3 linked regions of the Sus scrofa genome follow. The protein of the gene in region 2 purifies or fractionates together with the protein of the main gene of each other region. This does not show direct contact. Links are inferred from orthologs where the notes say so. Each region holds a gene or a part of one and is shown on either strand. Other genes may lie near its edges.

Region 1 (4,131 bases), on a different chromosome or scaffold from region 2:
CTTGCTGTAGGTTAAGGATCTGGCGTTGCCATGAGCTGTGGTATAGGTCACAGACGCAGCTCAGATCCTATGTTGCTGTGGCTGTGGAACAGGCCATTGGCTATAGCTCAGACTGGATCCCTAGCAAACTAGTTATACAAAACCCATTTTCCCAGTGCAAAATACATTCTCCAATTATTAGGAATTTTGCTTCTATAGTCTAAGACACAGAATAGGATTCAGTACAGCATTAATATTTATAGGAGGAGTTCCTGTCGTGGTGCAGTGGTTAACGAACACGACTAGGAACCATGAGGTTTCGGGTTCAATCTCTGGCCTCACTCAGTGGATTAAGGATCTGGTGTTGCCATAAGCTGTGGTGTAGATCACAGATGCGGCTTGGATCCCAAGTTGCTGTGGCTCTGTCGTAGGCCGGTGGCTACATCTATGATTAGACTTGGGAACCTCCATATGCCGAAGGTGCGGCCCCAGAAAAGACCAAAAAAAAAAAAAAAAAAAAAAAAAAATTTTATAGGAAAATTCTGTCACAACATGGACTATCGTTAAGTGGGACAAAAGACTCCAAAGAGTATTATCTATACTAAGACTCTGACTGGCAAGTATTCAGACATTAAGAAAATAAACTTTAGGAGTTCCTGTCGGGATACAGCTACAATGAATCCGACTAGGAACCATGAGGTTGTAGGTTCAATCCCTGGCCTCGATCAGTGTGTTAAGGATCTGGCGTTGCCATGAGCTGTGGTGTGGACTGCAGACATGGCTGGATCTGGCGTTGCTGTGGCTGTGGCGTAGGCTGGCATCTGTTGCTCTGATTAGACCCCTAACCTGGGAACTTCCATATGCCGTGGATGTGACCCTAAAAAAAAGAAAAAAAAATAAACTTTAAGTTCTGAGATGTTTACCTTCAAAGTTATACCTCAAATAAAATGGACAAAGTCTTTCAGTTATAAGTAAGAACTAGAAATGTAATATGCAATATGATAAATGTAATCAATACTGCTGTATGTTATATATTAAAGTTGTTGAGAGTAAATCATGAGTTCTCATCAGAAGAAAAAAAATTTTTTTGTCTATTTCTTTAATTTTATATCTACATGAGATGATGGATGTTCACTACACTCTTTATGATGTACGTAAATCAAATCATTATGCTGTGGGAGTTCCCTCGTGGTGCAGCTGGTCAATAAAGAAAGAATCCAGTGTTGTCATTGCAGCCTTGGGTTGCTGCTATGGCACAGGTTCGATACCTGGCCTGGGAACTTCCACATGCCTTTGGCACGGCCAAAAAAAATCATTATGTTATATACCTTAAAGTTACACAATGCTGAAAGCCAGTTACATCTCAATAAAACTGGAAGGGAAAAAAATAGACAAAAAGTCAATCTTAAATGCCTTCTCTACAAACACCAGCCTGAATATGACAATGAGGATTCTTTATGTTATCTCAAACTATCTTCTTGTCTATCTTCTCTGCAAAACGAACGCTACTACAACATAGGACTCTTTAAGGGGGGGGTGGGCTACTGCTGTAGCACAACTGGGATTCTTGGCGTCTCTGGAGCACTGGGATGCAGGTTCGATCCCCAGTTCAATCCCCACCGGCACAGTCCAGCATTGCTGCAGTTGCCGAGTAGGTTGCAAATGCAGCTAGGATGTGTTCCCTGGTCCAAGAACTCCATGTGCTTAACTATTTGGTCGACATTGACAATTCTTGACTCAACAGACAATAAACTAGTTAAGCTAGTTTATAACTGCCGGCTGAGTTGTAAAAGCCTCTGCTTCTATGTTCCAGGCTCTCAGCCTCAAGGAGAAACATCAGAACTCAATCTATTTGCAGGTAGTTTTTGTGATGAATTAGCTCAACCAGTAAACGAGTCTTCAGCAGGCTCAACTAATCGACCAAATTTAAATACAGAAATAAACAGAATAAATCTCGATTATCTGTGTAATCAGCCAAAAAGTACGGAAGAGTGATTCTACCCCATATTGAGAGGTTTTTTCCTAAATCAAAGGGCTATTTTAAAGGGAAATGTAAGTTGAATAATCTTAAGGCTAGGGAATAACAACAAGAGGGAAAAAAAACACTATTAAAAAAAAAAAAAACCTCAGGAAATCAGAAGTCCATCCCTGATCCCTGATTTAAAATACTTCGGAATTGGATTTCATTATCTCCAGATAAACCCCTGCAGCTTCTAAGTACTCTTTTAAGTGTGACGGTAGTTTCATTAAAAAATATGCATTAATTTAAACTACTTGTGCAGGATGTACAATTTTTATGTCTCCCACGTTCTCAGGAAGCGTGGACCTAGTTAAATTTGCCGGTTCCTGAGTGCTGAGACGAGCCAGAAACGTTCTAACAGAAACGGAAGTCTGTAACTCACCGAAAGTAAGAGCTTGTAAGCCTGGCTCTGTACTTTTAAGGCCTCTAAGACACCTGATGGGAAAACACCGCCCGGCCTTCAACCTCTCGGAAGACCCGCAGATCCCTGGGCGACCCAGTCTGAAGCCTGGTCGAGTGCCCGCGGCGACGCGACCAAGATGGGGCGGGAGCGGCGGGCGCCGAAGGCCGTTAGCAGGCCGCGCGCGCACGCGGCTTTCGCGCCTCCTGCATCTCGGGCAGCTCAACCCCCCCGCTCCCGGTCCAGGACATCCCCTCATAGTACCCACCCTGCTCGGTCACCTCCTCACCTCACGAGCTTCATCCTCTCGGTCCGATAGTACACAAAACCCCACCGCAGAGGCCGACCCGCAGGGAGAATGAATGACCGGAAACGCTTACTCCCGGGGATCGACGTAAAGAGCGCGCGGATCCCTGCGCACTCACGGCGGAAACGCCGAGGCTGCGCTTGGGCCACTCTCCCTTCCGGCCGCGAGTAGCGCCAGTGCGGCCTCTGGCGGCAGGAGGTGTGCCTTGCAACTGTTAAGGGCGTTTAGGGCCGATCCAGGAGGAAACTTCCTGTAAGAGAGAGTATTTCAGGAAATTAAATCCTATTAGCGAGCATAACAAGGCTCCGGGTATTATGTAGCACCAAATTTTCTCGTGAATGAAAGGAAATAATTGGAGAATCCCAAAGGATTATGCTCCACCACCAGGTATCTCAGCGTTACTTAATGTGCTGAAGAAAATCATACAATTTAACTGATTATTTTCACTTTAAATTCTGGTCACAAACCTCAAAAGTGTCCCTTGCACTGCCCAGAGATCGTTATGCTTCTCTAATAAGCTCACAAAGTATTTCATACCTTCTTTCTTCTCTTTATCTCAAACCTTTTACAGTTCTTCTCCCAAATCACTCTCTAACGTATCCTACTTTTAGAAAACAGAAGCCATCCTTCTGCTTCCCTTTCTGTGACAACGATAGAAGTATTATTGCTCCTTTGGAAAGCAAATTCCTCTTGGTTGTAGTCTGGATCCCATCTCATTTCCTCAAGAATTTCACTCCTTCAATGATCCCCTTCTAATTTGAATCATCAATTCCTCCTTCTCTACTGATTTTTTCTATCAACATATAAATTTATCTAAAAAACAAACAAGCAACGAGTTCCCACTGTGGCGCAACAGGATTGGGCAGCATCTCTGCAGCTCCAGGACGCGGGTTTGATGTCCAGCCCTGCATTGCTACAGCTGGCTGTAGTGTGGGTTCCAACTGTAGGTTGGATCTGATTCCTGGTCTGGGAACTCCATATGCCTCGGAGATGGCCAAAAATGGAAAAAGAAAAAAAGGAAAGGAAGAAAGAAAAAATTTTGTAGTGCCAGTTGTGGGAACTCGGCAGGGTAAGAACCTGACTAGTATTCATGAGGATGTGGGATCTATCCCTGGCCTCATTCAGTGGGTTACGGCTCCAGTGTTGCCACAAGCTGCAGCGTAGTTCACAGATGCAGCTCAGATCCAGTGTTGCCGTAGCTGTAGTGTAGGCCTCAGCTGCAGCTCTGATTCAAGCTTCCATTTGCTGCAGGTGAGGTCTTAAAAAAAAAAAATTCTCCTCTCATGCAGCTCTAGCTCCCACCAGATTTCTTCCACAGAAAACCTCCTTAAATGAGCTGTCTATAACTTGTTTTTATTGCCTTGTAATTCGATCTTCAAATACACTGAGATTGCTTTTCTAATGGTGATCAAAAACCCAATACAA
Region 2 (4,280 bases):
GTTGGTGAGAATGAGTTCTGTCAGACAGGGCAGAGCCTGATCAAGTCCCTCACCTATACGGCTGAAATAAAAACAGAAGGACTCTTAGTAAACATGCAAATTAAGTCAGCTAAAAATTTTATCTGAGCCCTTGCTCAGAGGGCTTCAGAGTGGGAAGAAACTTAAGAGATCTTTCTTCCAAGACCCTGACAGGAAAATAAGGCACAAAAAGAACTGTCTGAGGTCACACAGGTGACAGAAGTAGGATGACTTTAAAACCCACATCTCCTGAAAGATGTCCAGGGCCCTTCCTACTGCCACACTATCTTAACGAAACCAAAGACAAGAAATTCCTGTGTAAAACAGACTACTTAGTTCATCTCAGGACCTGTGTGAAGCCCAAAAACATAAGTGATTCTGCAGTCAGAGCTCAGGCACAAGATAAGCCAGTAAGCAAACCACAGTGGAATAGTTAACTCACGAGAAATAATGGGCATTTAAAAAAAAGCAACTCACTACCCAGCACTTCTATTGTGTGTGTGTGTGTGTGTGTCTGTGTGTCTTTTTAAGGCTGCACCCACAGCATATGGAGGTTCCCAGGCTAGGGGTCAAATGAAAGCCAAAGCTGCCGGCCTACACTACAGCCACAGAAATGCCAGATCCGAGCCACATCTGCTACCTATGCCGCAGCTTATGGCAATGCCAGATTCTAAAACCACCAGGCAAAGCCAGGGATTGAACCCAGATCCTCATGGATACTAGCTGGGTTCTTAACCTGCTGAGCCATAATGGGAACTCCCCAAAGCAGTAGGTTTTTAACTTAAATTAGAAATGTACCATGAATACATAAATAATACAAGATTTCTGAATAGATGCAAGTAAGACCAGACCAATACCAAATTCATCTCTGGATCTGTATGGGAAAAGTGTAGTTCATTTTCCATTTAAGAAATACGTAGGTGTAACTGGCAATACTGCAACTTCTTTATGGAACTCTGCTACATTTACTCTAGGGGAACAAAAATTACTTTCCACTAGTAGACACTTACCATATTCTATTGTTGTTCACTAACAATGTTTTCAGTCTTCTCAGCAAAGGAAAACCATCTAGTTTCCTGATTTCATTGTCAGAAAAATCAATGGCATCAAATTGGTCTAAGGTAGCACCTAGATTTTCAATGACAGGAATTTTGTACCCTGGAGAAAGGAGGGAAAAAACACACAAGGAAACATTAGCAGCATTTCATGGTAATTGGACTCAAAGCTTTCATTCAATCAGAAAGTTGTTTATCTAGCACCTATGCTGTGCCAAACACTGCCAAAGCACTGGTTGATTACAAGGGCAATAAAGATGAGAATACTCGCTAACAGTAATACTAATAGGTAGCTAACATTTCCAAGTATACTTACAAGGTGCCTTGTATTGTTCTAAGCAAGGCCCCAAAGCTAATGAAGTGGCCTAACAGGACTTTACACTGTGAGCTGCCTACTGTCAGTGTCCAAGCCTTGTCCACGTATTGTGGACAGTAATAGCTCCCAACCTTTTTTGCATTTCCACAGGTCAGATTCCCAGAACTCATTTGGATATCTTCGTATCATGACAGTTCCCACTTCTCTCACCTCCCAGAGGCCCAACCCAGAGTTGAAGGTCAATTTGTACACAATGGTAAATCACCTTGTGAACAACTCACTCAAACGCTCACTGATTTGTCTTCTAGGGGCATAATTATTGTCTTAGGTGCTAGGAGAAGAAAAGAAGTTAACCTAGGCAAGGTTAAATAAGTACACATTTCAGAGCTCTAAAGGCTCAAAGTTAAGTGCTGTACCAAAACGAGCATTCTCAACACCGGATGCACTTCAAACTCAGGCAGACATCAGCCTGTGCCAAGAGTATGAAAGCGGTGGGTTACTCTTGAGTCGAACCTATGATATTTAATTTCAACAAAACGAAAGTACTATGTCAGCAAACAAAAAAGCAAGCAGAAAGCAGGGCCCGCAGCAGTGCTGCTCCTGAGACGGTGTTCTCCCCCGTGGGGGTGGATCTCAAGCCAACACTTAACCCCGGAGAAGTCGTCCTTCACACCCTTTCTAAAGCCTCTCCTACTATGCAGACGAGTTGCCACAGGAATCTAATAGTCTGGAGGACTTCCGCCTCCCTTATAGACGCAAGACATCCGGCAGCCCTAGCGTGGCTGAAACAGTCTGCTCTTTGAAAGGTTTTGGCAAAAGGGAAATAGATCCTTGAAGCTAAGGAGGAGGAAAAGCCGGGAAAAAAAATCGCTTTTGCTCCGGACTTCACTTCCTCCGTCCCATACCCAACCTATATTCTCATGACTTCACTTTACCGTATCTCGGTCCGCACGAGGATCACAAACACGGCTCAGCACCCCAACGGCTCAGCCCACCCCGCAGGCGTGTACTTCCCCGCCCCCCAACGGCTCAGGTCACTCGGCAGGCCCGGCACCGGCCCCGCGGTCTGACCCAAGCATCGAGGCGGTCCCGGGCGGTGGGGGCTGGGCTAAGGAGAGCCTCGAAGGAGTCCAGGGTCGGCGTTTCGCCGACGACAGCGGGACTCAGCCGGGGTAGGAACCGGGACGCACGCCCCAGGCCACGTTCCCGCCCTTCGCGCACGCGGCGGGCGCAGGCCGCCGAGCGGGCGGGGAGGCCGGGCCGCCCGCCCCCGCCCGACTCACCTCGCAAGTCCAGCTCGCGGTCCCGCACGGCGTTGGTGTATTGCGCCGCCTGCTCGATCAGCTCCGCCGTCAGCTTCACCATCCTGTCGCCTCCCGCCTGCAGTGTCTCCCGCTCCTCCCGCCGCACCGACGTCCCGGCGTACCCCGCGCCCGCCGCCAGGCAGCATCAATCGCTTCCGGCGTGTGCTAACAGCGCGGCTCCCAGGCCTAATCAATCGAGGAGCCATTTCCTCCGTGATCGGCCCCGCCCCCGGGCTCGGGCACAGCTTTTGGGCTTTAGCTCCCGCGCTCTCCGCGGCGCATCTGGTTCTGAGTTCGTTCCTCTTGTGCAGCTTCGGCCTGCAGTGCCCCCGAGTCCAGATATTTGTGTCCGCAAGTTAATAAAGAGTGAAAGCCCACGAGTGGAACTTTCGCGTGCGTCAGGACACCTAGAGGTGAAAGGGAGGCAGTGACTGCTTTCACTCCGCCCATGGGATTCAGTGATGGGTCCCGGGCTTTGGCATCCGGGTGACACCATGAAGACCAAGCCTGGGTCTTCCGCACTGGTCTAGTTTGCAGTCAGGCCTGCCCTCTCTAGACAATTAGATATTCATGCTGAAGCCTGATAACACAGGAAGTGTGCAGATCTAAAGTCTGCAACATGACAAATGCCCACAGAGTGAGCACATTTGGGTGGCTGCTGCTGGGGTCCTGAAATTCGGAGACTCCTTCATTCCCCAAAGGGAACTACGAATCCGTCACCATAGATTAGTTTTGCTTACTTTTATATAAAGAGAATGATGCAATCTGTTTTTGTATCTGGTTTCTTTGGCTCTGTGTCATGCCTAAAATCCATCCAGGTTGCAGGCAGCAATGATTTGCTTACTTGCTGCTGTATAGAATTCTATTGCGTCTCTTACACCATAACAATCCATTTCGCTGTCGATGGACATTAGGTTTGTTTCCAGCTTGGGGCTAGTCTGCATAATGCTGCTATGAATTTTGTTGTACGTGGATCGCATGCACCTGTGCCTGAACTTTTCCAGGAGTGAAACTAAGGAGACAAAGTGTGTGGTATTATTGATAGGTACTGCCTGATGATAACTTCCAAGAGGCTGGAATCATTTCCACACTGTAGTGGTGTGTAAGGGTTTCCATCACTTGCCAACATTAACCTCATTTGCACTGTCAGTCTTCATAATTTTAGCAATTCTGGTGAGTACCAGTGCACTATTGCTTTCATTTGCTTTTTTCTAATAATAGTTAAGCATATTGTCCATTCTGATATTTTTTTACAAAGTGCCCATTCAAGTCTTTCTCCCATTTTTTTTCTTAGTGGGTTTTCTTTTTTCTTATTCCTTTTAAGATTTCTTTATATATTCTGAGTGTGAGCATACTATATGGCTTGCCTTTTACTCTTTTTTGGGGGGTAGTAGTTTAAACTTCCTAAATACCAAACACCTCACAGGAAGCCAAAATACTGTCCTCGTATACATCATCAAGCTGCAAAACACAAATTTTAGTACATTTTGGTCTGTTTAAGAAAACATCTTATTTCCCAAATCACCAAAATCATAATCTGGGCTGTAATTTTAATCAGAAGGATAAGAAATGTGACTGCCTCGCCTA
Region 3 (4,156 bases), on a different chromosome or scaffold from region 2:
ACAGCCCAGCCCTACAACCTTTTCCCTCACCGCGTGAAAGCCATTCCTGTTTGCAGCTCGTTCTTTTCCCACCCCAAAGATACTATTTATCCCAAATTTCTCCACACTGTCCTTTTATTCTCCCTTGGCCCAACTAACTCCTAACCCCTGGCAACTGAGGCCTCCAAACTGGGCACAACAAACACCAAAGAAAGATCTGTGGCACCCAAGGGCCTGCATTCCAAGTTTAAAGACTGTTCTAAGAATTGACCTAAAGATTTCATGCTACCCTGAAAGTACCCTGAAATTATGAATACAAATCGACTAAATAGCCCCTAAGTATTCAAACAAGTGGCCCAGACTAAAGGCCAGCACGAACATCCGAAACACATGAACCTTGATTTGTATATAACCCTCACACCTCACCTCCCAGACAAGGGGCCGCTTCCTATTAACTATCCCAACTGACGTGGATTCCTTCCCAACAGGCTTTCTCGTGTGGTGTGTGGCTCCCAAGTCTCACCAGTTCCTGATAAATATTAATTTTCAACTCAATTCTCTGAACACATCAAACTAGCCTGCCCTGTTTCAACTGTCCCCTTCTCTACATTCCTTCCCCTACCCTTACTCAGAAAACTCCCACTCTTCGTACCTCACATTCGTTACATCAGCTTTCCCTAAGAGTCCCAGGACCTCACTTCCTGGCTTCCTCCTCCAGCCCTCCTCGCCCTCTCACTCATCATCCTGCACCTGCCACCAGAACTTCTACCCTCTCAACCTGTCCCAACCCGGGTGTGGCTCTGAAGAGCCCTCAAACCCTAGTTTTTCTGATTAAATTTCTTGGCTAAATATACTCTATTCCTTTCTCCTGCTATATATTTTTTTTCTCCAACTCATCCTGTCAAAGGTAGTTTTCACAGGGGAAATGTGTGAGGGAAACAACCCCAGGAACGAACCCAAGGAACAAAGGGAGAAAGTAGTGAAAGCAGAGGGGAAAAAAAATATATATAACTGGATAAAAGGGAAGGCTTCATTTTAGAAACCCCCAGAAGGAACATCTGGATGAAGGTACTAAAAGCCCTCCCCACACCTAAGTGGAGAGAGATGTTGACTGAAATGGCAATGGCCCAACTCTAACAATTTGGAGCCCCTTAACCCTCAACTCTAAGGTTGGGACTCTGTTCAATCCCAATTGCAGACTCTGGAGGGAAAAAAAAAAAAAAATCCCTACTGGGGTAAAGGAGTGACACATAAAGCTAAATCTACGAAAAGTCAGTGGAACTATATGAAAATAAATGAAAACCTTTATAGCATATGAAATCCTTCAACCTCCATTTTTATCTTTTTTTTTGTTATTTTTCTCCGCCCCACTCTAAACCTAAGTCCTCTTTGGCTTTCTATACCCTACTTGGTTTCTGCTTCCCTTGCAGAACGCTTCTGATCTGCAATTAATTCTTCAACTCAACCATTCACCCACACTTCCATACCTCCTCACACAATAATCCTCCCACTCCCTGGAGAAGGAAAACCAGTAGATGATAAGCGTGCACTTTAAAATCTATTAAGTCACAACAGATGGGAACGCTTATAGGGAATGAGCCAATAACGAAGCCACAAACACACCATTCAAGACGGCGCTCAAAACATTTTAAGAACGAATAGACAAAAAAGTGTATCAACAACACACACAGATCATCAAAACCACATAAGGATTCTTAAACTGGGGTTCGCAGTCTGTGCATATGCAAAAAATCATCACCCAAGCATGCGGCAAAAAAGCAAAAGCAAGCTGCAAAGAAAGACGAAAGGGAGGTTTTTTTACTGTTGGAAAATCATCACAGTACCAAACTAACTAAGCAGAAAGGAGTTTCAAAATCCAATAATACGGTATTTAAGAAGAGAAATGCACCAAAAGGGGTGGGGAGTGTGCAGAAAAATGGACCTGAGTAACAGCGCAATAAGCTCAGTACAGGAGCAGTGTGGTAGCTGAGTGGACACTAGGCAGCCCAGAAAACGAAAATACTCGCTCAGGAAGAAATCCAAACTCACACACTCAGGAGAAGAAAAAAAACACAAAACACTTTCTCAATTTTTCGACCCAAAATATATCTTAAAGAGGCGTCTGAGAGGAAACCAAAAACTAGAAGACTTGGGCGCCAAATGAAGACAAAGTCCAGCGTTTCCTGAGGCTGGCAGCCTCTTCCCTAACTTTAACATAACTTTTTGGTAAATAACAAAACACGGGGAAAGAGGAAAGAAAGAGAAGGAGCGAAAGAAACAAAAGAAAAACTGAGAAAGCAGTACATGGCCTGCCTCTACGTACCTAGACTGAAGGACTTTTTTCCTAAACGTTTCCCTTTTTTAACGCTTCAAGACAGAGAGTAACGCATCCGAACTGTCTTAAATCTCTTGGGCGTTTAAGTTCAAGGCCTTCTCTGCACTGGCTGAGCCACCAGGGCCTATTTTCGGCCTTGAGGGAGAGGGAGGGGGCTGAGCGGCGCCCCGTAGTCTGGGAGGCTCAAGGCCGGACCACAAGCCTCCGGGAGGGACGGGTTGACCAAACCGAGAGGCTCAGGGGTGAGGAGCCGGGAGCGCCCCCCCCCGGCGCGCCGCCGCCGCCCCCTCCCCGCCGAGAAAATGTCGGCAAGGACAGCTGCAGGAGGGCCTCCCGGCCGCACGCGCTGGGGAGCCGGGAAGCCGAGTCGCGCGCTCCCCCCTCCTCGCCGAGAACGCGCGCGAGGCCGAGGGCAGTCGGCGGCGCGCGCCGTTACCATGGGGGAGGGGAGGAGGAATAAAGACCCGCGCGCGGTAAGAACCCCGAGGAGGGGGAAGGGAAGGCAGGCAAGCGAGAACGTCCGCACGAGCTAGGGGTGGCCAGCGCGCGTGCGCGCGGCGGCCTGAGCCGTTCTCCGCGCGCTTTGGCCTAGCGCCGGGGCCGCCGCCCCTCCCCCACCCGGCTCGCGCGCTCCCTCACCCGCCGCCGCCGCCTCCGCCCGCCGCTTCCGAGGGGGAGAGCTGTTGCCGCCGCCGCCGCTCGAGGTCCTGAGTCCCTCGGCGCCTGGAGTCGCCGCCTTGCCTCCCCGGTCCGCCCGTCTCAGCCGACACAGACGCCTCCTCGCTTCCTCAGGGGCCGCAGCGGGCTCCGACTGCGCCACTCGCACCCCGCCTGGGCCGCGCTGCACGTCAGCACGACGGACTAAGAACGTCAGCACGCTACCGCGCGCGTCGCAGGGCACGCCGGGAGCCGTAGTACTCTCCACGGCCTTGTGCGCAGGCGCCGAGACTGCACCGGGAAGTGTAGTTAATTAAGGCCCGAGGGAAGGGCAACTCCGTTGTCGAAGAACTATGATTCCCGTCGGCCCGTTGCCGACGCGGTCGGAGGAGCGGACCGAGAATGCAAGCAACGCATTCTCGACAGTTTCCGCTGGGAGGCGGAAGACATAGGGCCTATCGCCACATAGCCAGCGCGAGGGCTCTCCTTGACCTCCCGACTTCGTCCCAGGGTATCCTGGGAGTTGTAGTTCTAGGAGGACGCGGAACCCTTAAGTAGCTTCGCCTTCCCCTCACGCGGCCATTTTGTCTCCCCATGTTGGGAGGCGATGGTCCCAAGCCCAGGGACCCTGCGGCTCCCAGGTGATTGCCGTCCCCTGTCCTTCCGCACCCGGGAGACCTCTACCACCCCGCCCAGACCCCGGCCAGCGGACATCCCGGGAACCCCAGAGCCCAGCGTCTGGCTCAGGGCTTGAGCCTTAGGCCCGGCCAGTAGGCGGTCTTGTTCGCAGCTTCTGCCCGCCGCAGACAGTGTTGAACCGGGCGGCTGCACCCCGGGGATGATTTTTTGTTACCATCCCCCGCCTGTAAGGGGGCGATGAGCTTTTTCTCTTAGGGAACCTGAGATGTATCATATACGTGTTAGGGCGAAAACGTTACCGACGCCCTGAAGTTTTCCACCCCTCTGCAGAGTGCCTGAGTCCAGTTTTTTCCAGTGGGAGAGCAGCCAGTCTCCCTCAGAACAGAGGTGGAAGAAGCGAGGCTTCCCAGGCAGGCCACAGTTTCAGCTGGAGTCCCCACCTCCTGCTCGAACTGCAGTTTGCGCTCGGCTGCCCTGGTTAGTCCAGGTTCTTACACCCTCATCAGTGTTGGGGACATGGCTTGGATGGTCAGTCGAAAAATGAGA

What was found.
Region 1: the proteins of SNRPA1 (region 2) and SNRPD1 purify together in Homo sapiens (affinity purification with mass spectrometry; 4 studies listed by BioGRID and IntAct, counting the BioPlex papers as one, with this or other methods). This does not show direct contact. The link is inferred for Sus scrofa from reciprocal best matches to the Homo sapiens genes SNRPA1 and SNRPD1.
Region 3: the proteins of SNRPA1 (region 2) and SRRM2 fractionate together in Homo sapiens (co-fractionation; 3 studies listed by BioGRID, with this or other methods). This does not show direct contact. The link is inferred for Sus scrofa from reciprocal best matches to the Homo sapiens genes SNRPA1 and SRRM2.

Annotation. Positions count from the first base shown.
Region 1 is NC_010448.4:106,796,916-106,801,046, reverse strand, and holds the start of SNRPD1 (small nuclear ribonucleoprotein Sm D1), read right to left. Parts: upstream 2,847-4,131; 5' UTR 2,703-2,846; coding exon 2,689-2,702; exon of another isoform or gene 2,668-2,688; intron 2,457-2,667; exon of another isoform or gene 2,382-2,456; intron 1-2,381. UniProt on the Homo sapiens protein: Plays a role in pre-mRNA splicing as a core component of the spliceosomal U1, U2, U4 and U5 small nuclear ribonucleoproteins (snRNPs), the building blocks of the spliceosome.
Region 2 is NC_010443.5:145,705,945-145,710,224, reverse strand, and holds the start of SNRPA1 (U2 small nuclear ribonucleoprotein A'), read right to left. Parts: upstream 2,833-4,280; 5' UTR 2,755-2,832; coding exon 2,673-2,754; intron 1,177-2,672; coding exon 1,029-1,176; intron 62-1,028; coding exon 1-61. UniProt on the Homo sapiens protein: Involved in pre-mRNA splicing as component of the spliceosome. Associated with sn-RNP U2, where it contributes to the binding of stem loop IV of U2 snRNA.
Region 3 is NC_010445.4:39,274,304-39,278,459, reverse strand, and holds the start of SRRM2 (serine/arginine repetitive matrix protein 2), read right to left. Parts: upstream 2,847-4,156; 5' UTR 2,303-2,846; intron 1-2,302. UniProt on the Homo sapiens protein: Required for pre-mRNA splicing as component of the spliceosome. As a component of the minor spliceosome, involved in the splicing of U12-type introns in pre-mRNAs.